3 linked regions of the Drosophila melanogaster genome follow. The protein of the gene in region 1 interacts with the protein of each later gene in a pairwise test. Each region holds a gene or a part of one and is shown in the gene's direction. Other genes may lie near its edges.

Region 1 (7,129 bases):
CTTGTTTGGGAGGCGCGTGCCGCAAAGCGACACGACGCCTTGGGTGGATTGCCACATCCAAGTTGGATCGAAGCGTAGCTCTGGCCTGGTAATCAGTTGGCCAGCTTGTATATAAGCAGCCTAGGACTACCCAGATTAATTACTTCGATTTCGATCTTTGTCGAGTGCATTTCAATACCCAAAGAGTTCTGAAAGGACCAAAATACCACAAAATGATGGGAAAAGTGAGTGGAGTGGAGGAAAAAGGGTGCGATACAAAGGATTCTAATGCATAGAGTGGTGTCTTCCTTTTAGGTTACCTATTTGTTGTGCCTGTGCCTGGCCAGCGCCGTTTGGGCCATTGAATTGCAGGCGGAGCCGGACTACGGACCAGTGGCCTACGAGTTCCAGTGGTCGGTGAACGATCCCCACACCGGCGACATCAAGAGCCAAAAGGAGTCCCGCAAGGACGACAAGGTCGAGGGTGTCTACGAGCTGATCGATTCCGATGGCTATCGCCGCATAGTGCAGTACAAGGCGGATGATCACAACGGTTTCGAGGCAATTGTCCAGCGTGAGCCCACGGACATCAAGATACCGTTGCCTGAGCCACCCAAGAAGCTCCTGGCCGCCAAGATCCTGACTCCCGTGCTACCGGTGGCGCCACTCGTCCACTACGCCGCCCCCAAGGCCATTATCAAGCAGGAGCTGTCCGCCGGGAACTATGTCTCTGTATCCGGACCAACAGCACAGTACAAGTACTAAAAGGATCTAATGACTGACTTCAGCTGCATAAACCCATTAGGAAACCCGTCTTGACCCGGGAAAACTCACTGCCATACATCATAATTTAGTTACAATTAAGACAATTGAGTGTACATACAGACAGCTTACATTAACCTACAATAAAGATGCATCCCATTCAATCTGTTCGCAGAGGAACACAAAAACTTGGATTTTTTAATATAGGGAATATACTTAAAAGCTGGGTGAGGGTATTTTATTGATATAAAAAAAAAAATGAGTAGTTGAGTAGTGGTTGTGTTGCAAACATACTTATATAAGTGTGAAGATCAGTTAAGAAAAATATAAGCCAAGTGAAGAAAAACCACATTATGACAGTTCACAAGTGTGACACAAAAAAGTGAAAGATTATTAAAACCAAAAAAAAAAAGTGGTGAATGAAATGCTTGACTTAGTTCAACTCGCTTGTGTGTTTGGCTTCTTCAGTGAATTCGTATCATTATATTTGCGAATTGATGTCTCATAAAATGATGCGTCACGATACAGGTGGCTTCGATACTGTGATAAGCATAAACTAATGCTATCGCCGCCAGACGCGACATGGCCCATAGATGCCTCTAATCTCACGTAGCTGCTGCCACTTTGGGGGCGTCCAATTACCGGCGCAGTCGACGTCGTCGATGGCGATTCTATTGGATTTGGCTAACGCTCTGACCAATGCATCCATGGAGCATCAGTGCGAAAATGGTCGGCTGCCCGGAGACACGACAACTACTGGTCACATTGCTATTGACCCTTGGCTTCTGCCTGGGGGGAAGCTCAAAGGATACAGTTGCGGATGCGGATGCCAAGTGGATGGCTCCACTTAAGCAGTATGGGTATACGCCGCAGCATCTGAAGAACAAAGTGGAGCATGGTGAATTCACCACCTTCGAACTGGGCACCCCCAACTACCAGATTCTCAATCCCGAAGACGAACCGGAATACATAACTGCGGATCAACCGCATTATCAGGAGATGCTGAGGCGACTTACCAGTGGTCGTAGTAAAGCTGACACCATTGATGTGGAAATGGCAAGTCGCACGGAAACGGTTCGCGAGACTTCCGATCCGGGTCAATCTAAAAAACCATCTCAAATTCAAGTGCCAGTTAAACCGAAGACACAACTAAAACAAAATCGCTGGGAGAAACTAAGGAAGCGCAGCTCCATCGAAAAAAGACGTGACCACAAGGAAACCATGGAAACTGATGTGCGGGATGATCAAAGTTTCTTCCCTGATATTCAGGTTTACCCCGGCTTACCCTTCCAAAGTCGTGTAGCAAATCTAAATTAATCATAAATAAGTCACCTCATCCAAATGTGCAAATGGCTTTGATTTTAAGTGATCTCTGGTGATTCGGACAATGAATAAATACTAAAAGTATAAAAGTAAAAAAAATAAAGTACTTTTTTAAAGGACTACTTTAAATAAATCGGAGTTTTTTGCTATTTTTCTTTGTAAGGCTAAAATTGTTATGACTTTTACTCGCAATAATGAAAATAGTGATGTTGCTTATTTTTGTTAAAACAAAAAAGATTAAGAGTGCCCCCAATTTTAAGCAGAGTTTTCCCAAAATGTTGTTTAAATAATGAGCTAGACAAAATGTTAAATGGTCAAGATACTATTATTTAAATCAGTAAAGCTTTTGTACTCAATTTGTAGGAAGATAATTTAGGTATTGAGCAATATCGCTTACAAAAATACCATTATCCATAGTGTACGTGTAGACCTTGAGTTCCACAAAGAATTACAACCAAAAATTGATAAGTCAATCGACCCCAGACGTTAATATCAGATCTAGGCCGAGACCCAGAAATTATAAATCCCCCAAGCAGCTGGAAATTTTGTGCAGAACCGAAAAAATGATCATTGCGGTCGGAATGGTTTTGGCTATTTATAAAATTAAAGATTTCAGGAGGATTGTTTATTCTGGCTAATGAGAAACTGCCTAAAAAAAATGCATTATGAAGTTCGTCTTTCTCTTAAAGGTTATTGTCATGCCAAAGGTCATACATAAATATGTTTGCTATATGTTTTTGATTAAACAACTCTTGTCGCGAGCACTCCAAGCTATCGACGAGTGCGGGCAGAAATGCTTGAATGTGTATTACGGAAGCGGCGGCATCTGGCGATTGTCTTTACCCATTCCGGACCCATTCCGGACAACCACGCCCCATTCCGAGCCGTTTGGGGCGTTTGGAACGTGATGCGGTCAACGCTTCCGCGACCCATTTGCTCGGCGTTGTAAGAACGAGAAGAAGAAGCTCTCGGCCAGCGCAGCGTATTTAAGAGCTATTCAGCAAAATGCATGAAAGAGTTTCGCACGCGACCGACCAACAGCCAACAAGTGCCATCCATCGGCGATCCGGGACAGAAATTCCAGCAATTGTGGGGAAAGTGATCGAGCGAGCGAGGGAGAAATTCAGTTGAAAGGTAGGGTAACGGGGTCAATCGATTGGGAACGATTCCGGCGCAATTCTCTGACCCATTCTAAATTCAATATTCTCCCCCCTTCAGATGTTCGAACGCTGCAATTTATTATTTATGACCATGCTGATGGCATCGGCACTATTGACCCAAGCCCATTTCCCGGAATATTGTGCGGAATGTGAACAGGAGGTGTGGGAACAGGTGCCGTGCAGCGAGGTGCCCACAACGGTAGCGCCAACAACAACCGGAGGCTCTACGTTGAGCCCGCCCACAACCAGCGCCACCAGCCCGGGACCTATTTACCCAACAACAACCAGTGCCCCACCCACGCCCACGGATTACACTACACAGCCATCGGAGTACAAGAAGTGCTACTGCGAATGCAAGCTGGGCTGCAAGGAGTTCTGCCGCAAGGTGATCTCTTCTGAGCCCAAGCAGCCGCTCACCCAGATCTCATCCATTGGGGAGTATGCCCCAGGTGGCCAGGTGGAGTACACGCATGTCCATCAGCGCAAATACTTTCCCAAGTACGGAGGCGAATCCTATGGGGGATTGGTAGGACCAGTGGGCGGACCCAAGGCCTATAAGCCATATCCATTGGTCTACGAACAGGCGGCATCAGCTGCTTCACCGGCTTCCATTCCCTCGGTGGCTTCCTCACCAGCGGTGGCCAGCATAGCTGCTCCTAATTACACGCTGGAGGAGTTGGCCCAATTGCTTAGCACTGCGTATGGCACCAAGAAGGGCTACCCAGCTAGTGTGCCAACTCCGCCACGTATTCAGCTTCAGCCAGCTCCCTCCGTTTTCTATTCCCCGGTTCCAAGCTACAAAAAGCAAGTGGTTCCACTCGTGAGCAAAGTGGCGCCGGCACCCAAAATCTCCTCCAGCATTAAGTATGCCGCCTCAGCGGTTTCATCATCATCATCGGGCGTGTCGGTGGCCAAGATAAAGACTCCCTACGAGGAGAAGATTGTGGTGGCCACACCGTCTCCCATTTATGAGAGATCCACATCGTATCCTATTGTTGAAGCACCCAAGGAATACTCGGCGCCCCAGACGGAAGTCTATCCCGTTGTGCAGAGCCAAACGGAGTCGTATCCCAGCCACACACCCATATATCCAAGTCCCACGGAATCCTATCCCAGCCAAAAGGACTCCTACCCCAGCATCACAGAGTCATATCCCAGCCAAACTGAGTCCTATCAACCGCGTACGGAAGCCTATCCCGTACCCCAACCGGAGATCAAGCCATATGGTGGTCCCGATTCTGGACCCGATAAGCCATCGTCCACGTTCGATCTGGCCATCGATAATTATCTGAAGGACTTCGGATATGGCAACCAAGGAAGGGGATATGCGGACTACTAAAGTTCCATACGTTGTTTTTTAGGATTAGTCTAGGCTAGAATGTTTTCTAGGTATCCCATTATTTATTGATGTACTCCCCGTTTCCTGTTGACTACATGATGATTAAATAAATTATTAACAAAAAACTAAAGAATATTATGGTCTTAGTATTATAGTTGAAATAACTATTGCATACTTTTGGGCTATAAAGTAGCAATTTCCCCCCTTCGATTTTGTTAAAAGAATTAATGAAACAAGAGATAAAAATTTACAAGACTAATAAAATTATGAAAAAAAGCTTTTATAGTTCCTGAAATCTCGACTTTCATACGGACATAACCAGATCGACTTGGCTATTGATCCTATTGATCAAGAATATATATACTTTATACATAGTATAAAGTAGCGAGTTTGCTACTTTTCAAAAACGATCATTTATAATTCGGCTTGACGCATTTTATTATTTGTATTTAAAAAGTTTTCTTCATTTGCATTCATTTTTTTATATACTTTCTTGTTGTCGATAACATTGAATAAGATTTCATCTTACGCATTTCGCCAGCTTAATTCTGGTTTATGCTTGCCAATTTTGATAAGCATAGATATATACACAAATTAGATTCATAAATTTTCGTATGCAAATATATATGATTTATGCAATATGAATGTTTTCAAACAGCGCTTATTTAACCGTTGATCAAGGCGAATCCAAATTGTTTTTGGTATTTCCAATTTGTATTTTCACAAATTTTACGCACCAGCTCAAGTCTTTCATTTTCTAAGGTTTTACATTTGTGGAGCTTATTCATTTCAATTTTCTGTATGACACGATCTAGAAAGGATGTCGGATTGAGAAAATTTCTATAGGCACACACAAAAATAGCCATGGAAATCAGAAAGTTATATAAGTAGCTCACTATAATTGCACTTGATAGGATATAAATATTCAACAAACGAAGTAATAAGAACAATTTGCATAGTACACTTGCAAAGATGCGAATGTGCGGTTTTATTTATTTTCAATAATGTTTGCATATAAAATAACAAATAAAAAAGTGAAATCATAATATTTAGAACATATTCGTACATTGTAAATGAAGTGAAACTAAAAACGATAAATTGCAACACTTTGAAATAATGACGTCGTCCCAGCTATGAATTTAAACGTAAATTATCGAGAAGAAAATATAGTTATAGTTATACGATATTTTAAAATGTATATATACAGCTTCATTCATTAACAATCTCGATCCGTTGCTTTAAAGAATATAATTTTCGGATTCCATAAATCTCCTTAAACCTTTCCGTATTCAATTTCGTTTCGAAAATGTTCAACTGGTAAACCAAAAACAGAGCCCAAGATACCTGATATCTTGTAGATACATTGCAGTTGCTCCTTTAGTTGTTGGTGCTGTTTTCGGTCCCACAAAATTTTGCTAATTATACAAATATATGTGTCACATTGTTACACTTTAAATATATAAATATGAGTACTTGTATTATTCGGTTGCCTTTTTGTTTTGATTAAGTTTGCTGACTAATGCATTTTCAATTGCAAATAGGAAAAGTTTCTTGGTTTTTTTGGTTTTCGGTTTTTGGATGCCTTGCATTTGCCTAGTTTTGCTTTCGTATTATGTATTACATTAAGTAGCCGTAGATTAAATATATTACGCGTTTATTTATCATGATTAAACATTGATTAGGTTAAGTTGTTGTTGTTTGTTTCTCTTTTTGTTTCATTTTGCCTTTATCTTTACATTAAATGTGTAGAAAAATTCGTTAAATTGATTTGCATATAGTTATTCGATCTCACCTCCAGCTCACCTGGTTAGCCACAAATACAAAGTTTAATTGGCTCGACAAATTAAATGATTGGCTGCACAGCCACGCGATTTAAGTATGTATTTAGTTTTGCTACGATTTGTGCATTGCAGTTCTGCGCTATTTAGTTAATTTAATTATCCATTATTTGGCTGCAGTCTAGACTTGTAATTCGATTTCTTTTTCCCATCTCTAGCGTGTTTCCTCATGTTAAACATATGATATACATTTATGGTACTTTAGATACTTATATAAGTTCTGCTTTATATCAACTCATCACTGCAAATGCTAAAAACTTATTAGCCCTCACCACGACACTGGTTGTGGGCCATCCAATATGACCATAAAATTCCCAGGTCCAACGGCGAATCCCGAACTATCGGTGGCTGCCAAACGCACTGTGGCTCAAAGCCAGTCGCTGCCCCGAGTCACCCAATCCGAATCCGTCCCTGTTCCGCGTCGTCCTGTGCATCCTCCGGCGCTAGGTGAGCATGTAGACAAATAGAAGCGCCAACGCCACGTTGAAAATCAGGACGAGCAGCATCAGCTGCTGGCGCACAAACCAGTCCTGGATGGATAAACAACATTGAATTATATTCAAAATATGGTGTTAATAGTTTAAATAGTAATTTAAAATTCAATTTCAATTTTAATAAAAAATGTTTTCCGTATTAAGTCGAAATTCGATTAGAATTTATAGTGATAATAACTATTAAATTGACATCCTAAATTTAATTTGAATTATAAGAGAATAAGTTTGCTTTAA
Region 2 (7,248 bases), on another chromosome or scaffold:
AAAGCGCAAATGTAAGCCAAAGAACGAAATCAAGCAATGCGATTGCTATTGCCGTTGCCTTCAATTAGCCATTTCCAAGAGGGCATTTACACCCCGATTGCATCCGCATGGCCTAAAGGCACTAAACGCTTCACTGCATCCACATCGCTGGGCAAACCAGGGCATAGCGTCTGGAATGGCCAAAACCAACTACCAGAAGAATTTCAATGCCAAAATGGTACGATGGGACAAATTCGCGGATTTCATGGCAGTCTTTTGTGTTTTTAACAATTACCAATTAACGCAGATTTATATGACTAATTAAAGAGACCTGCCTTCCAAATCGCTGTTTTCTTGTGAATAGATATAGAAACATTCAATCTATTTCATATATTTTTCAAGTTTTTCAAAGGTTTAGCTGTTTAGCATTTATATTTTGACGAGTTTTTAGACTGCGGAGTTACTGTCTTTTGGTTCGGTGATGCGTGACCAGGCTAGAAGGCATCGGCGCTGGTGTTGCCATGCTAATTCCGATTGCAACTGGTATTGGCCAAGCCAGTTTCCGTTGCGACACGTCATGAAGAATTTTATTGTCTTGCGGGCAGAATTTTAAATATTAATTACAACTAATTGCCGCGGCTAGAAGCAAGCCACGCTTCATTTGCCTAATGGCTTCGCCGGTCGCAAGTGGCCAGCCACTGAACAAGTAGTGATATATATAACACCACCACCCGCTATTCATCTTAATTATGTTGTTTAACAGCTAGTTCAATTAATTGGACATGATTTAGCCATGTGCATGTACGCAATCGGAATCAGAAAACAAACGATTGCAGACGCAACACCTGCCTACGCCAAGGTAATTCCATGCAGATGCAAATGTTCTTTTCCGGCCCATAACTGTAAATAACGGCAATTGAATAAAGACTGAAATCGAGCAGGCAATTTATTGAAAAACATCTATGCAGTTCGCATCCAGACCTGATTTGCATATATTCAAATGGATCAAAAGGCAACAAGTAACTGCTGCCCAACCTACGCCCACTCGAAAGTTTTTTTTTGCTATTCGCAATTGTTTGGCATTCCCTGTATCTTTAAATCCACAAAAATGACTGCAGATACAGAGAATTCTGGGGTCTCGCAAGTGGTACGAAATAGTTTTCAATATTTTTGTTTTTTCTTTTTTATTTGAAGGAAAGACAGCTTGGCATTGGAACGTGCTAAGCCAACAATGAGTAAGCCCAAAAGGGTAACACTGAAACAAATTGCTGAAACAAATTCTCAATTCTACAAACTGGAAAAACGTGTGCATAAACTATTAAAAATGATTTCTGGGATTACTTTTATTTCGTTATACTAGACTTTTCAAATACTTACTATTTCCTTTTCAATCCATTTGTACCCAAGTCAATTAAATTTTATTGTCCGATTTCCTAGCACATACATTTGATGTGATCAGTAGCATTGAAAGATATCAATTTTAAAATACATCCAAGTCTGGCTACGCTTAGATTAGGAATGCATTTAGATAAATTGATTCTGATTGCATAATACGCGTTATTACCAGGTAATTAGTTAATTTTCACCCAGATACCGATCAGAATTCATATGCCCGACACCCGGCCAGTAGCGTTCGCATTGAGAGCCAAGACCATAATTACAGACGCCGTTCGCAAATGGAGCTGGATTGGATCGGGTCGGGTTGGAGCTGAAGCTGAAGGTGGCTGAAGGTGGGCACCTCGACAAATCCACAAATGTGTGGATTGCACTTGAGCCAGTCGAGGCATTCATTCAGGCAGTCGGCCCACAGCTGTCGACAGTGGGCCGAGCTAATAAAATGAAAACAAAAGTGGCACCGGCAAAAAATATAATTTATAATGTTGCGCATACCGCAAAAATGTCAAACACGCCCCAAACCGATCGCCCGCCCGCGCATAAAAACAACAACAACAGCACATGCGGGTTCAAAAGAGCAGTTTGAAGTTGGTTTGGTTTATTCAAATTAAATTGGTGGCAGGCAAAGGCAAACAAATTAAGTTGCCGATACGAACTCAAGAATATGGAGTGTGCCATATAGACTATAAACGAGTATATAGGCGCATATAGCCAACCGCCCTCCCGATTTCGCTTATCGAATGCAAATAATCAAAGTTAGCCAGGGTGCAAGCACTCATTATATTGCAACGGACAAGAGAGGCTCACTGCTGCACTTGCAGAAAAAATGCAATCGGATTTCGGATACGGAATCGAAATTCATTACATTAAATTATATTTATTTCTTTATGTATATATATATATTTATATGTTTAACTGAGCTATAAAAAAATAATAACATTTTGGGGAAAAAAAATCATCTCTTCTCTTTAATAACTAAGATACTCAATAATTGTTAAGAAGTTGGGATATTCAACTAAGATACATACAAAAATTAGTTACAACAGCATTTCTTTCGAAATCGTTCACTCACCTAGCATTCGACGAATATCATTTTCTCTTCTTAGGGATTATTCTTAGTTAAGGATAGCTCATTCTAAGTTAAATAATTTTGATTTTCCGAGTGCATGAGTGCATTTGGGAGTGCAACATCTAGATTAGCGGACAGCAAAGAAATGCTGCAACATGTGGCAACAGCGGTGGCCAAAAGTGAATAGAAAATCCATTTTGCTGTCTTTTGTTTTCCGCTTGCTTCTTTGGGCAGTGCTCTTGTTTCTCCTTTTTTTTTAATTTGCAAAGTTTTCGTTTCGTTTTCCGATGCAGTTCAATGATTAAAGAGGCAAACGCCCAGAAATTGGCCAGCTCACATTTCGTTATGGCCACCATTGGGGCATGTTGCAAGCGGTGGGTAAGAATTTTTTAATTTGATCGAGCGTTGCGCTTGGGGCGGGGCTCTTGGGCGTTTTTTGGAAAGGCACTGATCGATAAGATCGGCCTAATCCCGTGGCCAAATAATGAGTGCTAATTGTCCGCACCGCGGAAGTCAAAGAACTAGCACCCGAAACAACACCAAATAAAATACATTAATCGCCTAATGTTGAAGCCAGGTTGAAACCAATACCGGCAATTAAATCGCGTTGAAAGCAAGGTCATGGCAGCTGTGATTTTTTCCACAGTGACAAACGCAGCGCGGAAACGCACGAGCAACATGTTGCCAGTGCAACTGCAGGCCAGCAACATGCTGCAGCGGCACTCCACTGCAAGCGATTGATACACATTCTTCGGCTGCGATATCCACTTCGGCTCTGGCCAAACCCCGCTTCGAGCCCCGATTAAAGTGGTAATTCGATTACTCTGGAACTGGTACCACACATTGTTCTGCTCTTGCTCTCGTTGGCTTTTGTTGGCTTTTGTTGAACGCCCGATATTGCTGGTGTTGCGGTGTTTTCGCTGCTGTTACCAATGTTGCGCATGCGCCGGCGTCTCAGCCGGAGTCTCGGCTGCAGTGTCTCTGCTCCCCAATCCCCAGTCTCCGGGCTCGCTGGTCTCGGGCGGTATATATTAGGGCCGCCAGCCAGCAGTCAGCACAGTTCGTTAACAGTCCTAGTCGTGGTTCTAGGAGGTTCAACCAGCGTCCAGCGACCAGTGCCTGTGCCCGTGTGTCGTGTGTAGTTAGTTTTCCGTTCATCCGCAGTGTGTCCCCGAAACTCCTTTTCGAAGCTCAATCGTGTGATCATAGCTAAAATGAAGCCATTCGTAAGTATGCGCCATGGGATCGAAAGGATAACGCCGAGCAAGAGGATTAAAGTTATAAATAATATGAGTTGGAGTGTGTAGATTACCGTGAGGAGAAAAGGATATTTGGATTCCGTGCTTGAATTACTGAGATACATTTCTAACTTTTTCTGTTCTACAAATTAGTGATTAACGTCTCTGCATGTAATTTATTTTTCTTAAAGTTACAAAATTTTACCATAAAAGTGGGCAAAAGTTCATTTAATTGATTGATTCTATCATGAAATGCTTAAGTTCATTAAAATCGTAGTTTAATGGAACTATGTAAGTCCACAGCCAGGTTTCGCTAGTTAGAACTGCTTTTTCATTTTCGATCTTTGGGATATGTTAATCGGTATCAAGAGAGAAGTGTGGCATACCAAATCTTTAAATTGGATTTTGTCAGCCGTTCGAAAAGTAAACACTAGTTTGACAGTGACTTGCCATTAAGTTTGAATGAATTCCTGGCATTCTTTTAATCTGTCATAGCGCAATTAATTTAAAATTCAACTGACATTGCTTTTGTAAACTCAATTTATTTCGCTTAAATTCCGCTCCGAACGAAATGGCACCTGTGCATCGTTCAGTTCCATCCGAGAGTCAATTACCATGGCACGTCATGCTAAACGTACCACCCAGCAAACCATCAGCTGCCATGGAACTCCGTGCGAAATCCCGTTGATAAGCCGCTGACATGTTGCATGTCGGACAGTTTATTCAACCGTTTTTCCACCACTTTCTGCCCCACTCACCTGCTGACACATAATATCGTACATAATCGCGCCGCATGCGGTAATATCTTCGAACGAATATTGGCCGACCGACCGACTACTGACTACATATCTCGGAATCAAATCTAACGGTTGCGCTTCGCGGCTCTGAAAAGCGAAACCATTGGAAAAGCGAATCCAGAGGAGAAGCGAGTCCAGGAGAAAAGCGAAAAGATGGGCGTGTGGGGCAAGAAAAGCGAGAGGAAAACGCTGGCGCAAGAGCAAGAAAAGCGAAAAGCCTGTAATTAGGTTAGCAGAGGCGGCTTATAAGCTTCCACTGAGTGACACCTGCGATTAACGATTTTGGGCGGTGGCTACCGCACGAGTAATTATTGAGCAGTCACATAATCCCACGCCTAACACCTTCTGCACTGTGAGAAACATGTAGAAGCTATATGTTAAATAATTTGAAATATTCAAAGAGATGAAGGTACAAAAGTTCTCTAATCGGAATTCAACATAGGCAAAATCAAAAAGATTTTTAATTATTATTATATATATATTTAATATATAAAAATCAGTTCTGTAAAGCTATATTGAAATTTGTTAGTTTTTTTTATCAGCTACATCAAAATTACAAAAAATAATTTCCCATTTTTATTTAGTTTATTGCCGCAGCGTTGCTGATCTCGACGGTGTCCGCCTCTTGGCACGGAGCCGTCTCCACACAGTACCAGCACCTGGACCCGCACAGCCACACCTACTCCTACGGATACGCCGATCCCAACTCACAGAAGCACGAGACGCGAAGCCATGACGGCACCACGCACGGCTCCTACTCCTACGTGGATGGTCACGGTCATGTGCAGTCGGTGTCCTACACCGCTGATCCGCACCATGGCTTCAACGCCGTGGGCACCAACCTGCCTCAGGCTCCTCAAGTTCATGCCGCTCCCGTTTACGCTGCCGCCCACGCCCATGGCGCCTATGCTCCTTACGCCCACGGACCCATCCACATCCCGGTGCTGACCCACGGAGGCGTCCCCGTCGATACTCCCGAAGTGCAGCACGCCAAGGCCGCCCATGCCGCTGCCCACGCTGCTGCCGCCCACAATGCCGGAGGACACCACCTGTACAAGCGGTCTATTTACGGCGGAGGATGGGCCTACGGACAAGCCGCCCATGTGCCGCTGACTCATGGAGGTGTGCCCGTTGATACTCCCGATGTGCAGGCCGCCAAGGCCGAGCACTATGCCGCCCACGCCAAAGCCCTTGGCCATGTAGCTCATGCCCACGGTGCTCCCGTTGAGACACCCGAGGTGCAGCACGCCAAGGCTGCGCACTTTGCCGCCCATGCTGCCGCCCGTTCTGGACATGCCGTTTCCCCCATTAACCACGGTGGCTATCACGTGCCGGTAATCCACAATGGAGTACCCGTCGATACGCCCGAGGTGCAGCATGCCAAGGCCGCCCACTACGCCGCCCTGTCCCAGGCCTCCGCCCACGGAGGAGCCTCGCATGGATCCTGGGATGATGGCAGCTACGACGGACGCTGGGAACAGAGCCACAGCAGCCACAACAGTTACGCCTCCGGCTATGCGCACAAGGGACCCATCCACATCCCGGTCATCCACAACGGAGTGCCCGTGGAGCCTGCCGAGGTGCAGCACGCCCGTGCCGCGCATCTGAATGCGTTGGCCGCCGCCGGACATGGAGCTCCCGCCAGCCATGGTAGCTACTACGGTGGCAATGGACACGAGGATGATGGCCAGTACCACGCGCACTATGACCACTATTAAGTGACGAGTGGTCGGCACTTGAGAGAAGTTTAACTTCCGATCGACGACGAGCATCTCTATACACTCTGACTAACCGACTACCGAAGCCAGCGTGGCGTATGCGTAACGTTGCATTGCGTATTCGCTCGCCAGTGCCACTTTTATACAGCATTCGCAACTCTCTGTCTTTCTATACATTTATCTGTTCTATTACTGCTTCTATTTCTTAACCTCTGTCACAAAAACACACGGAAAACTGAAAGCTACTACACACGGGAGATTGAAGTGCTTCGTTAGAAGCCTTCCTTGCCCGCTGGGTTTTGACCGATTTGGATTTTCGATCCAGTCACAGCACACACATCTCTACCTACCTACCTACATACTTCTCTCTGTACTAGGATTTTCCCTCATTTTTTATCTATATCTTTATCCTCCTGTTACTTCGATTGAGAAACGCTGTATGAGTATGTTGTAAATAACAGTTGTAATCTTTATGTATCTGACCAGATATAGATCTATATTTTATATGAACATGCAAACAGACAAATAAACTGCAAAAATGTATTTGATCACAATTTGAAGTGTTTGGAACTGGTGGTGGGATTGTGGTATTAAGAATTTAAAATCAAAGCCCCAGGATGCAATGTTAACTTACTTCTTGAGATAAGCTTTTAAATTTTGTTGGTAAAAAGCGCAGCCCTAAATAATTAGATAAATATTTCGCTTTACATTTTTCAACATATATATATAAATTAGTTACTTTTTTAATTTAATCAATGATTTCTGTTAAAATATTTCAAAATTTGCTAAGGCTCCTAGACAAAAATTAAAACACTTTTTAGGCTTATTAGATTTAAATTCAATCGAACTTATTGTATTTAAAGTTGGAATTGAAAATTCATCTTCATCCTGAAGATAAAATTCCACATTTAATGATTTTTCTGATGTTTTGTCATGTTAATTAAAAGGCCATCCAGTTTTGGGGCTTCGCATCCATTTACTTTAAACTCTGTTGCATATTTCCCAGTCTCAGGTCAAATGCCGCACCACCCAGAACAACCATCTAAACCACC
Region 3 (8,090 bases), on another chromosome or scaffold:
TTCAATGGCGGATAAAATTAAAGTATGGTGGCGAATATTGCAGTCTGCAGATGCTCGACTATCCTCGACTATCATATACCCGTTGAACAGCTAGTACAAGAAAGATATTTCAAAATTTGTGTGGATATAGGGAGGGAAATTCATTGCCATGGGATCGTCGAAATCAGCAATGGTTCATATCAATGGCCCACGTAACCGATTAAACTGGCGCTCCCCACTTAAGCTCGTAGCCCCCATTCTAGCAGACCAACTAAAAAACACGCCCAACCATGCAGCCGTATACCAAAAGAGACAGCCGGGGAGTAATTCATAATTAACATAATTGAGGCACCCGGCCGTTGAATGTTTTTGTGCTTTGATGAGCAGAAAGCGAAGACCTGATGATACGGGAGGTGAAACATGGAGCAGAGAGTTGGGAGTCGGGAGATGCAGATGGCGATGGAGGGCTAGGGGCTTTCCTCAGGCGCTTGGCAGAACAACGATGGATGACGACCCATAAAAATACAAGAGGCTCGCCGAAATCGTGGTAACAGAAGCAGGGGGCTACCAGTCCGTAACCAAGCTACAAAACACGATGGTGCAGGTGGGCAGCAGGCGGGGAGTTGGGCGGTGGTGGGGTTCCTGGGATGTGAAAACGAAACAATATGTAATTTCTACGCAAAAATGTTTTCTCATGGCGGTGGGCGTGACCCAGCAACAGCAACAACAAGAACGCGGAAGGAGAGCAACACAAAATTGACGTTGATGTACTTGCTACCTACAGTGTGCAGTGGATGGCTGAAACTAAACCACGTTATTTCAAAACATAAGCAAGTTTACTTCGTAGAAGAGACAAAAAGGTACATAAATCTAGGCTTAAGCTCAACTACAACAGCCCACTGAAAGTTTGTGCCACTTATCGAGTGCTGTCTGTACTGTCAAAGTTGACTTACCCGCAGATGTTGTTTCAGCAATTTCAGTTGGGGAGAGGTGAGTTCTCCGGCGAAAGAAAGAATTCTGTGACCCGGGTTTGGCGGCTGCACCGGCCTTCGCCGGCTGATGACGTTGGAATGTGGCCACCAAGGCTTGGTTCTTCCTCTTCTTCGTTGGCTCTGCTGACGTCGCAGTTGCGTTTTGTTGTTATTTTTGTTGTTGTTCTCTCTTTTTGTCTTCTCCAATGCCGGCTTAGTTGTTGCTTTTTGGCTTCTCTCTGCTGACAAAGGTGATGGCAATTTGTTGTTGTTTGCTCTTCTTCGACTTCGCACCTCGCAAAGTGCCGTTATTCATTGACGAAGGGCAAAAGCAAACACACAAGCACACATTCAGAGGGGAGAAGAGAAGGAGAAAAAAACACAAACACTAAACATTTCAGCAATTCAATCATTCACATATGTATGTATTTATATTTCTTTTTTGTTGCTATTTAGCAATTATGCACGAGTTATCTCACGGTCAACTGGTTTTTTTCGAACGATTTTTTATTGTATTTTATACGAGTCGAATTTCGCATTGATGGAAATGCAAATAAACGCGCAGTGAGAAGAGAACATTTTCCGGGCCCCACAGCAAAAGGAAAAAGAAAATTCAAAACGGCACGCGACGCACGAACTTAATTATTTACTACGTGTGTGTGCGTGTTGTTGCACAACTACAATAAAAACTCAAAAAAAAAAAAATTAAATAAAAGCAAACAACAACGATCCAATGTCAGAGAACCACCCACACGAATTGAAAAGTCAAACGGACAAATTGAATTTCGGCCTGCAATTTACGCTTTTAATTAAATCATTAAAAGGGGGCACAAAGATTACGATTACGCCATTACAGAGCACACAGAAAATCAAGATCTGCGTATGATACCAAATTTCTGAGATTAAGTTGATATTTCATTTTTTTTTATTTTATTTTGATGGTTGAAAGATTGATATAGATAAAGACGTAAATTGAACTTTTGTTTCCTTAACATGACAAAGAAACTTGCAACCACTAAATATTTGTATATATTTTCAGTTAAATCGAATCACATGCTAAGTATATTAATAAAACGTTTGTCTTTGTAAAATCAACGAACTGTTGATCATCTATCCGTCCTGTTTTGCTCCCAGTGTAGCGGCAACAGTTGCACTGTTTGGTGTTTGGTGGCTCAAAAATGTAATTACGCACTCCAGTGCAAAAGCAATCGACAGCAAATTACATATTTGTAATGGTTTGCAATTGAACTGCTTTTAAAATTGAATAGCAATTAAATTGTTGCTTGGCAAACACGAACACACACAGCCCGAAAAAAAACCAGACAAACCACTACAGACAGACTCAGACACACACCGATAGAAACGCTGCTGCGCCGACGCAACTGCGCTGCAGAACTTCTCTTCCTCTTCTCCTTCTTCATCTTTTAATTTCTTTTACCTTTAACTATTATCTATTTTAGCATAATTTCATTCACACACCAGCTTTTGTTTGTATTGAAATTAGTCGCGGCGGCTGTAATTAAACAATGCGGTATTTCGAAACTCGCGCTGAGAACGACCGACAATAACACCAACACAGACAGGAGCGCGCCCTTCTCGCACGCACACAAATTTATTATAACACGTAAACAACAACGCCGCAACGCCGACGCAACTTATTTTTCCGGCAGCGACGCGTCCGCATACGTCCGCTCACGTTAAGTTCCGCAGAGAGAAGTTGTTGAAAACATAAACAGAATCACTTGTTGCACTCTTTGAGAAAAGTGGGGCTATTGCTGAAAAAACCAACTAAAAATATTGCAGGTTAGGGATACTCGCTCGATTGGCGTACGGCCACACTTTTGCGACTTCACTGTTAACCTCTACTTCATAGAGACTTTTACCCGATAAATGTTATGAGTTTGACTTTCTCTGTTAATCACAAGAAAAAATATTGTGGAAATTAAAATTATCTCAAATCAATAAAAAATAATAATATATACACCTATGTTTTATAGAAGTCAACAGTAAATAAGTTATTTGGAAAACCATTGTAGCCGTTTAAATAAATCTCCTTGAGTGTGTTTTAAATAACGGTCATTAAGTATATTACTTGGCCCTCTGAATTTCTTGAATTACACCATTTTTAGAAATAAATCAATCCAAAAGACTACTTTTTGGTGGCAAATGAACTGCATAAAAAGTAACAAAAGAAATATGTTTTTGAAATAACAGTATAGCTGAAGTGTATTAAAAAATACCGTCATATGAGCGACCCGCTGTTACCGCTTCGCTGCGAATGACAAAACGGGCTGAGCAAGAAAATGGCGTAGAAGGCGACGAAAATTCGTTTCACTCGTGAAGAAAACCTCGATAACTGAGGAATACAGCTGGGATTTAAAGAGCATATTCGAACTACAAGCAGAGATGTTTCCTGGTGGAAACGGAAACGCCGATTTGGGCTACAACAAGCATGCCCACGTCCATGGACTTGGACAACATGGCCATGGGCACAACCATAATCACAATCAGTTCCTGGCGCAGCCCCCACCACCCCCCACACATTTTTCACTGCCCTCCGGGGGCGGTCAGGGCATGGTGACGCCCATGGTAGCCGCCGGCCTGCCGCTCGCCATGCAGGGTGGCGTTGGCATCGATTGGGCGCAGCTCGCCCAGCAATGGATCCACATGCGGGACGCTACTCCGGTGCCCATGCCCCTGGCCCCTCCGCCGCCCATCATCAGCAATTTGCGAGAATACCACCAGCAGACGCTAGCAATGCCGGTGCCCAGTGTGGTCAGGGCGGGATTTCCGCAACTAGAGGAGCACGGCGAGGCGGATATGGACATGGACGATGAGAATGATCGGGGACATAGCACTGAGACACCCCCACCGCCAGCACCTTTGGTTACGCAATCCCAATGGCTGGCGGGCACCGAAGTGGCTGGTCAGATCCCAGACGCCTCCAACGGAGCGGGTTTGTAGAAGATCCAAGAAGATAGCACAATAAATCAGGTCAGCAACTAACCCTCCTCTCCGTTCCTTGCAGCTGTCACGCTGGGCAAGCAGCCATGGACCGGGTGGCAAATGCAGACCGACAAATCAGGCAATTCCACGGCGCATATACCATCTCTGCTGAAGCTGAACGTGAGCAATCCCAATGAGCCGCACCAACAGCTGCAGTTGCAGTTGCAAGCGCATCAGCAGCAGCAGCAGCAGCATGCTCCCCAACCAACGCATCCACACCATCCACCAGCACATCAGCCGCATGCACATCCACACCACCTAACACCACATACACACCTGCCGCCACAGCACACACAGCAGACGCATGCGGAAAGCGGAAGTAGCGGGGCTAGCAGTGAGATCGATGCAAACAAACGGAAAATGTTGCCAGCTTGGATAAGGTATGAGTGTGCAAAGAACCACAATAAGATGCACAAAAGATAGATACTTGTAATAATTTCCTTAATCTTTCAGAGAGGGCCTGGAGAAAATGGAGCGGGAAAAGCAGCGGCAACTAGAGCGCCAGCAATCCTCCATGACCACGCCAGATGTTGAGGTCAACCATGTTAAGCAAGTATCAAGCAAAACACTAACCACACCTGGTAATCTTTTGAACATCGCGAACGTGGTAAGTAAGGTCGATGGGCGGCAGGGTTAACTGACTCTCAATACGGACAGAAAAGTGCCGAAAGCGTAGCACACACCATCTCACACAAATTGGTTGCACAAAATTTAGACGGGACTGAACCAAACTGAAAACGATGTTTCGTCGTTGAAAGCACACAAAACTTAAAAACAATCCGGACAGTAGAGCAGACTGCAGGCTTGAGTGCAGGCTGTCGATTAAACATTCCCTTGAAATTCAGGCTAGCGACAGCGAAGATTCCATTGACGTGCCTGTGGAGGCGCGTGGAGAACTAAAGGTGCAGCAAATAGGTAATGAATTGATTAGTAAGGACGACGATCGAAGCAGCAGCAGCAGCGAAGAGCCAGAGTCGGAGCTGCATGGAGCCATCGAAACCGGCAATCGGACAGTGGCGGAGCACGTGAGAATGGCTACCGTAAACGATGTCAATGGTAAAAACTACGAAGAAAGACTGGCGGATCTGGTAGGCATCACCATTTGACCCGGATGTTTGCTCAGCCAGGCGATGAAATCGAGTGAGTCTCAGAGGCGAAGGAACTGCGGAATTCTGACAACACTTTACTGGCTGCTCTGCAGTTCGTTCACTCTTCACTAGAGTTTCATTCCCTGGCCATCGGCGGCACATCCAAAAAAAAAACCCATTTGTATAGTTGCAAACAATGAATATGAACACCCAATACCACCCATCTGTAGATGCTTGTGGTGCGTCGGACACTAACCGAAATCCTGCTGGAAACCACGAACGAAGAGATTGCAGCCATTGCAGGCGAGACTCTAAAAGCACACCGTGCGAAAGGTACATTATGCATTATACTTAAGTTTATCCCAAACCGATTTCTTCCAGCGCTCGCGCTCGTGTGTGTGTGTGTAAGTAGTTATAGATCGTAAGACGGCGCGGATATATCGCGGATCGATTGTAGCTTGGATGACCGGATGTTTCGGCCAAGCGATTGGAGTCGTGTTTTTTCCGGCTTCACAGCGCGTTACCAACTCTTTTAATCCTATGTCTATGCTAATAATCTTTAAATCCCTAATAATGAATTGATATATCGAACACCACACAAACCAATGAAATCACTTGCTGAATTTTTTAATTTTAATATATAATATATATAATTATATATATATATGTATGTATGTGTAAATCAAAAGCGTCATCAGCCCAAGTGATTCGCAAAAGCGCCTTGTCCTCCATTACCGGCAACTTGGGTAAGTAACCAAATTCCAGTTTAGTTCATACATATTCTTTGCACTATTTTTGTTCAGAGGTAGTCTGAGTTATGCTTGGTCATCCTGTCTTTCTATACCCCAAATCCTAATCACAAAACGAAAAGATATTACAAAGAATTGGATTACTCCTATGGCCGAGATTTAACATTCTATGCTTCCTGTAAATTTAAGCCATGGCCAAATGATTTCGACCCCCTCGGCGCAGTTTGGTCTTTCTAGCCCGCTTCTTCGTCCTTTCGCTTCCCCATTTCCCCTTCCTTTCACCTTTCCGTAAATTCTTGCGAAGATATTGAAAATCAGTTCAAAATATACCAAAATCTGCGCCCGATCTACATTGAAGCCTGGTAGCAACAATTAGCACTTGACTGATTTGAATTATAGGTTTAGCTGCCTATGGCGATTCTTCCAGCGAAACCGAGGATGATGAGGATGATGAAGATGAGCGTCAAGCGGGCGCTGGAAAGGATGCCGAAAAAAGCGCGCAGCTAAGCGCGGAGGAGTTGAAAGTAAGTTAGCCACACGTTCATTATCAAAAGATATCAATTCTCAATATTATTTGGCTTTTAGGCTCGCATAAGGCGCAGCAAACGATCCTTCGAGAAAGTCATTGACGACATTGAGGATCGAGTGGCCAAGCAAGAGCTGCTTGATGAGCAAACACTGCTGCGACATCGCAAGCGGGAGCTAGAACGCTCCGTAACTGGTGGTGGTGAGCATCGTCGACCGGCGGCCAATCCAGAACCGCCCAGTGAGTCGGCTAGTCAAGCAACCCAGGAAAAGCATCAGCAGTCAAATGGTATAGGTGATGCACATAAATCCAAAGAACTCCTAAGCATACATTGCCATCATTTAGGCAAAAGACTCAGTCGCAAGGAACGGACCACCCGCTTTAGCGACAACAAGGACGGCAAACAGCAGTCGCAGAGCTTCGTGCAACAAGTAGTGGCGACCGCTGTGGTGCCACCACCCGGAAGCCTAAGCAATAGCAGCCCACAAAAGCTGAAGCCCGTTCCCAATCCGGCCACTAATCTACTGCAGATGCCGGAGTCGGTGGCCACCATGCTGACTGCGGCTGACAAGGCGCTGCACAAGGCCAACAAGTCGTCGCATAAAAAAAGCAAGCGCCGCCACTCGTCCCCCTCGTCATCGTCTAGCAGCAGTGGGAGCAGCTCTAGCAGCGATAGCGACGACAGTAGCAGCACCTCGAGCGGATCCAAAACTTCAGGCAGCCGCAGCAAGCGATCCAGTCGGCATGGACACCGCAGCCACCACAGCAGCAGTCGGAGCAAATACGAACGTCGCGATCGCGACAGAGAAAGGGAGCGGGCGCGGGAGCGAGAGCGGGACCGTGATAGGAGTCATCGCCAGCATCGTAGTAGCCAGCTTAGTGGAAGTCACCACCAGAAACAGCGCCGACATCGCGAGTCCAGCCATTCAGGCGAAGATGCTGGCGGTAGCAGCAGTTACCACCGCTCCTCGCGGCAGAGCAGCAGCCGTAGCCATGATCATGGCAGCAACCGTAGCCATGATCACGGCAGCAGCAGCAGCGGACGGAAGCGGCACCGCACGAGATCCCGCTCCAAGTCGCGAAGCACTCACCACTCCAGCTCGAAAGCATACTCCTCCACTTCCGCGTCGCATCCGCGCAAGCGCCATTAAGAAAAATCTTGCGCGTAAAAATCCGAAGTTAATTGTTAATATTACATAATTATTATTTCTTCTGTTTAAGATGCTTTTTAGTAAACAGTTTTAAATCAGCCTAATAAATTAAAAACTCAGAAAAATTTGTTTTTTTTTCATGTGTTATGCGAATATCCTCATAATAATTAGATATATTTTTAAAGTTGGACATACGGGAATACGGGAATTAAGTTCCCAATAATACAAACAAGTAAACTTTTTTAAATTCAATAAATAATTTATTTTTTCTATAAGCAATAACATTTTTGCTAAATTAAGACTTGGTAATTAGGTAATACTATTGTTGTTCTATGGAATATTCGATCGAAACATTCTTATCAGTCTCAAAAACTTAAAACAAACTTATAATATAACCCATATGTTATAACCCATTGATGAACAAAAATTAGACTCTTTGGCCTTAGTCGACCTCCTCGACCGTGGGTCCAGAGTAGCCTCCAAATCCTCCCGCCTGCTGGCCGCAGTTTGCTCCCGGACCACCAGCTCCAGCTCCCGCACCCTGCTGATGCATCTTGGTCATGATGGGGGAGCAGTGGCGGGTGAGCTCCTCCAGCTTGTGGTCGAACTCCTCCTTCTCG

The links. Proteins that work in one complex are often made in the same cells at the same time.
Region 2: the proteins of CG13114 (region 1) and Cpr92F interact in a two-hybrid assay, tested with the Drosophila melanogaster proteins (one large-scale study listed by BioGRID).
Region 3: the proteins of CG13114 (region 1) and CG31211 interact in a two-hybrid assay, tested with the Drosophila melanogaster proteins (one large-scale study listed by BioGRID).

The regions. Positions count from the first base shown.
Region 1 is NT_033779.5:9,542,735-9,549,863, forward strand, and holds CG13114 (uncharacterized protein), read left to right. Parts: upstream 1-3,076; 5' UTR 3,077-3,198; intron 3,199-3,282; coding exon 3,283-4,563; 3' UTR 4,564-4,690; downstream 4,691-7,129. Other genes in the region: Cpr30B (cuticular protein 30B), read left to right, coding at 213-224, 295-744; CG13113 (uncharacterized protein), read left to right, coding at 1,441-2,058; jp (junctophilin), read right to left, coding at 6,845-6,931.
Region 2 is NT_033777.3:20,666,074-20,673,321, forward strand, and holds Cpr92F (cuticular protein 92F), read left to right. Parts: upstream 1-3,497; 5' UTR 3,498-3,657; coding exon 3,658-3,669; intron 3,670-5,062; coding exon 5,063-6,196; 3' UTR 6,197-6,748; downstream 6,749-7,248.
Region 3 is NT_033777.3:11,946,449-11,954,538, forward strand, and holds CG31211 (uncharacterized protein), read left to right. Parts: upstream 1-3,231; 5' UTR 3,232-3,356; coding exon 3,357-3,906; intron 3,907-3,978; coding exon 3,979-4,336; intron 4,337-4,409; coding exon 4,410-4,563; intron 4,564-4,801; coding exon 4,802-5,044; intron 5,045-5,274; coding exon 5,275-5,377; intron 5,378-5,733; coding exon 5,734-5,790; intron 5,791-6,192; coding exon 6,193-6,317; intron 6,318-6,378; coding exon 6,379-7,470; 3' UTR 7,471-7,590; downstream 7,591-8,090. Other genes in the region: Hsp70Aa (heat shock protein 70 Aa), read right to left, coding at 7,913-8,090.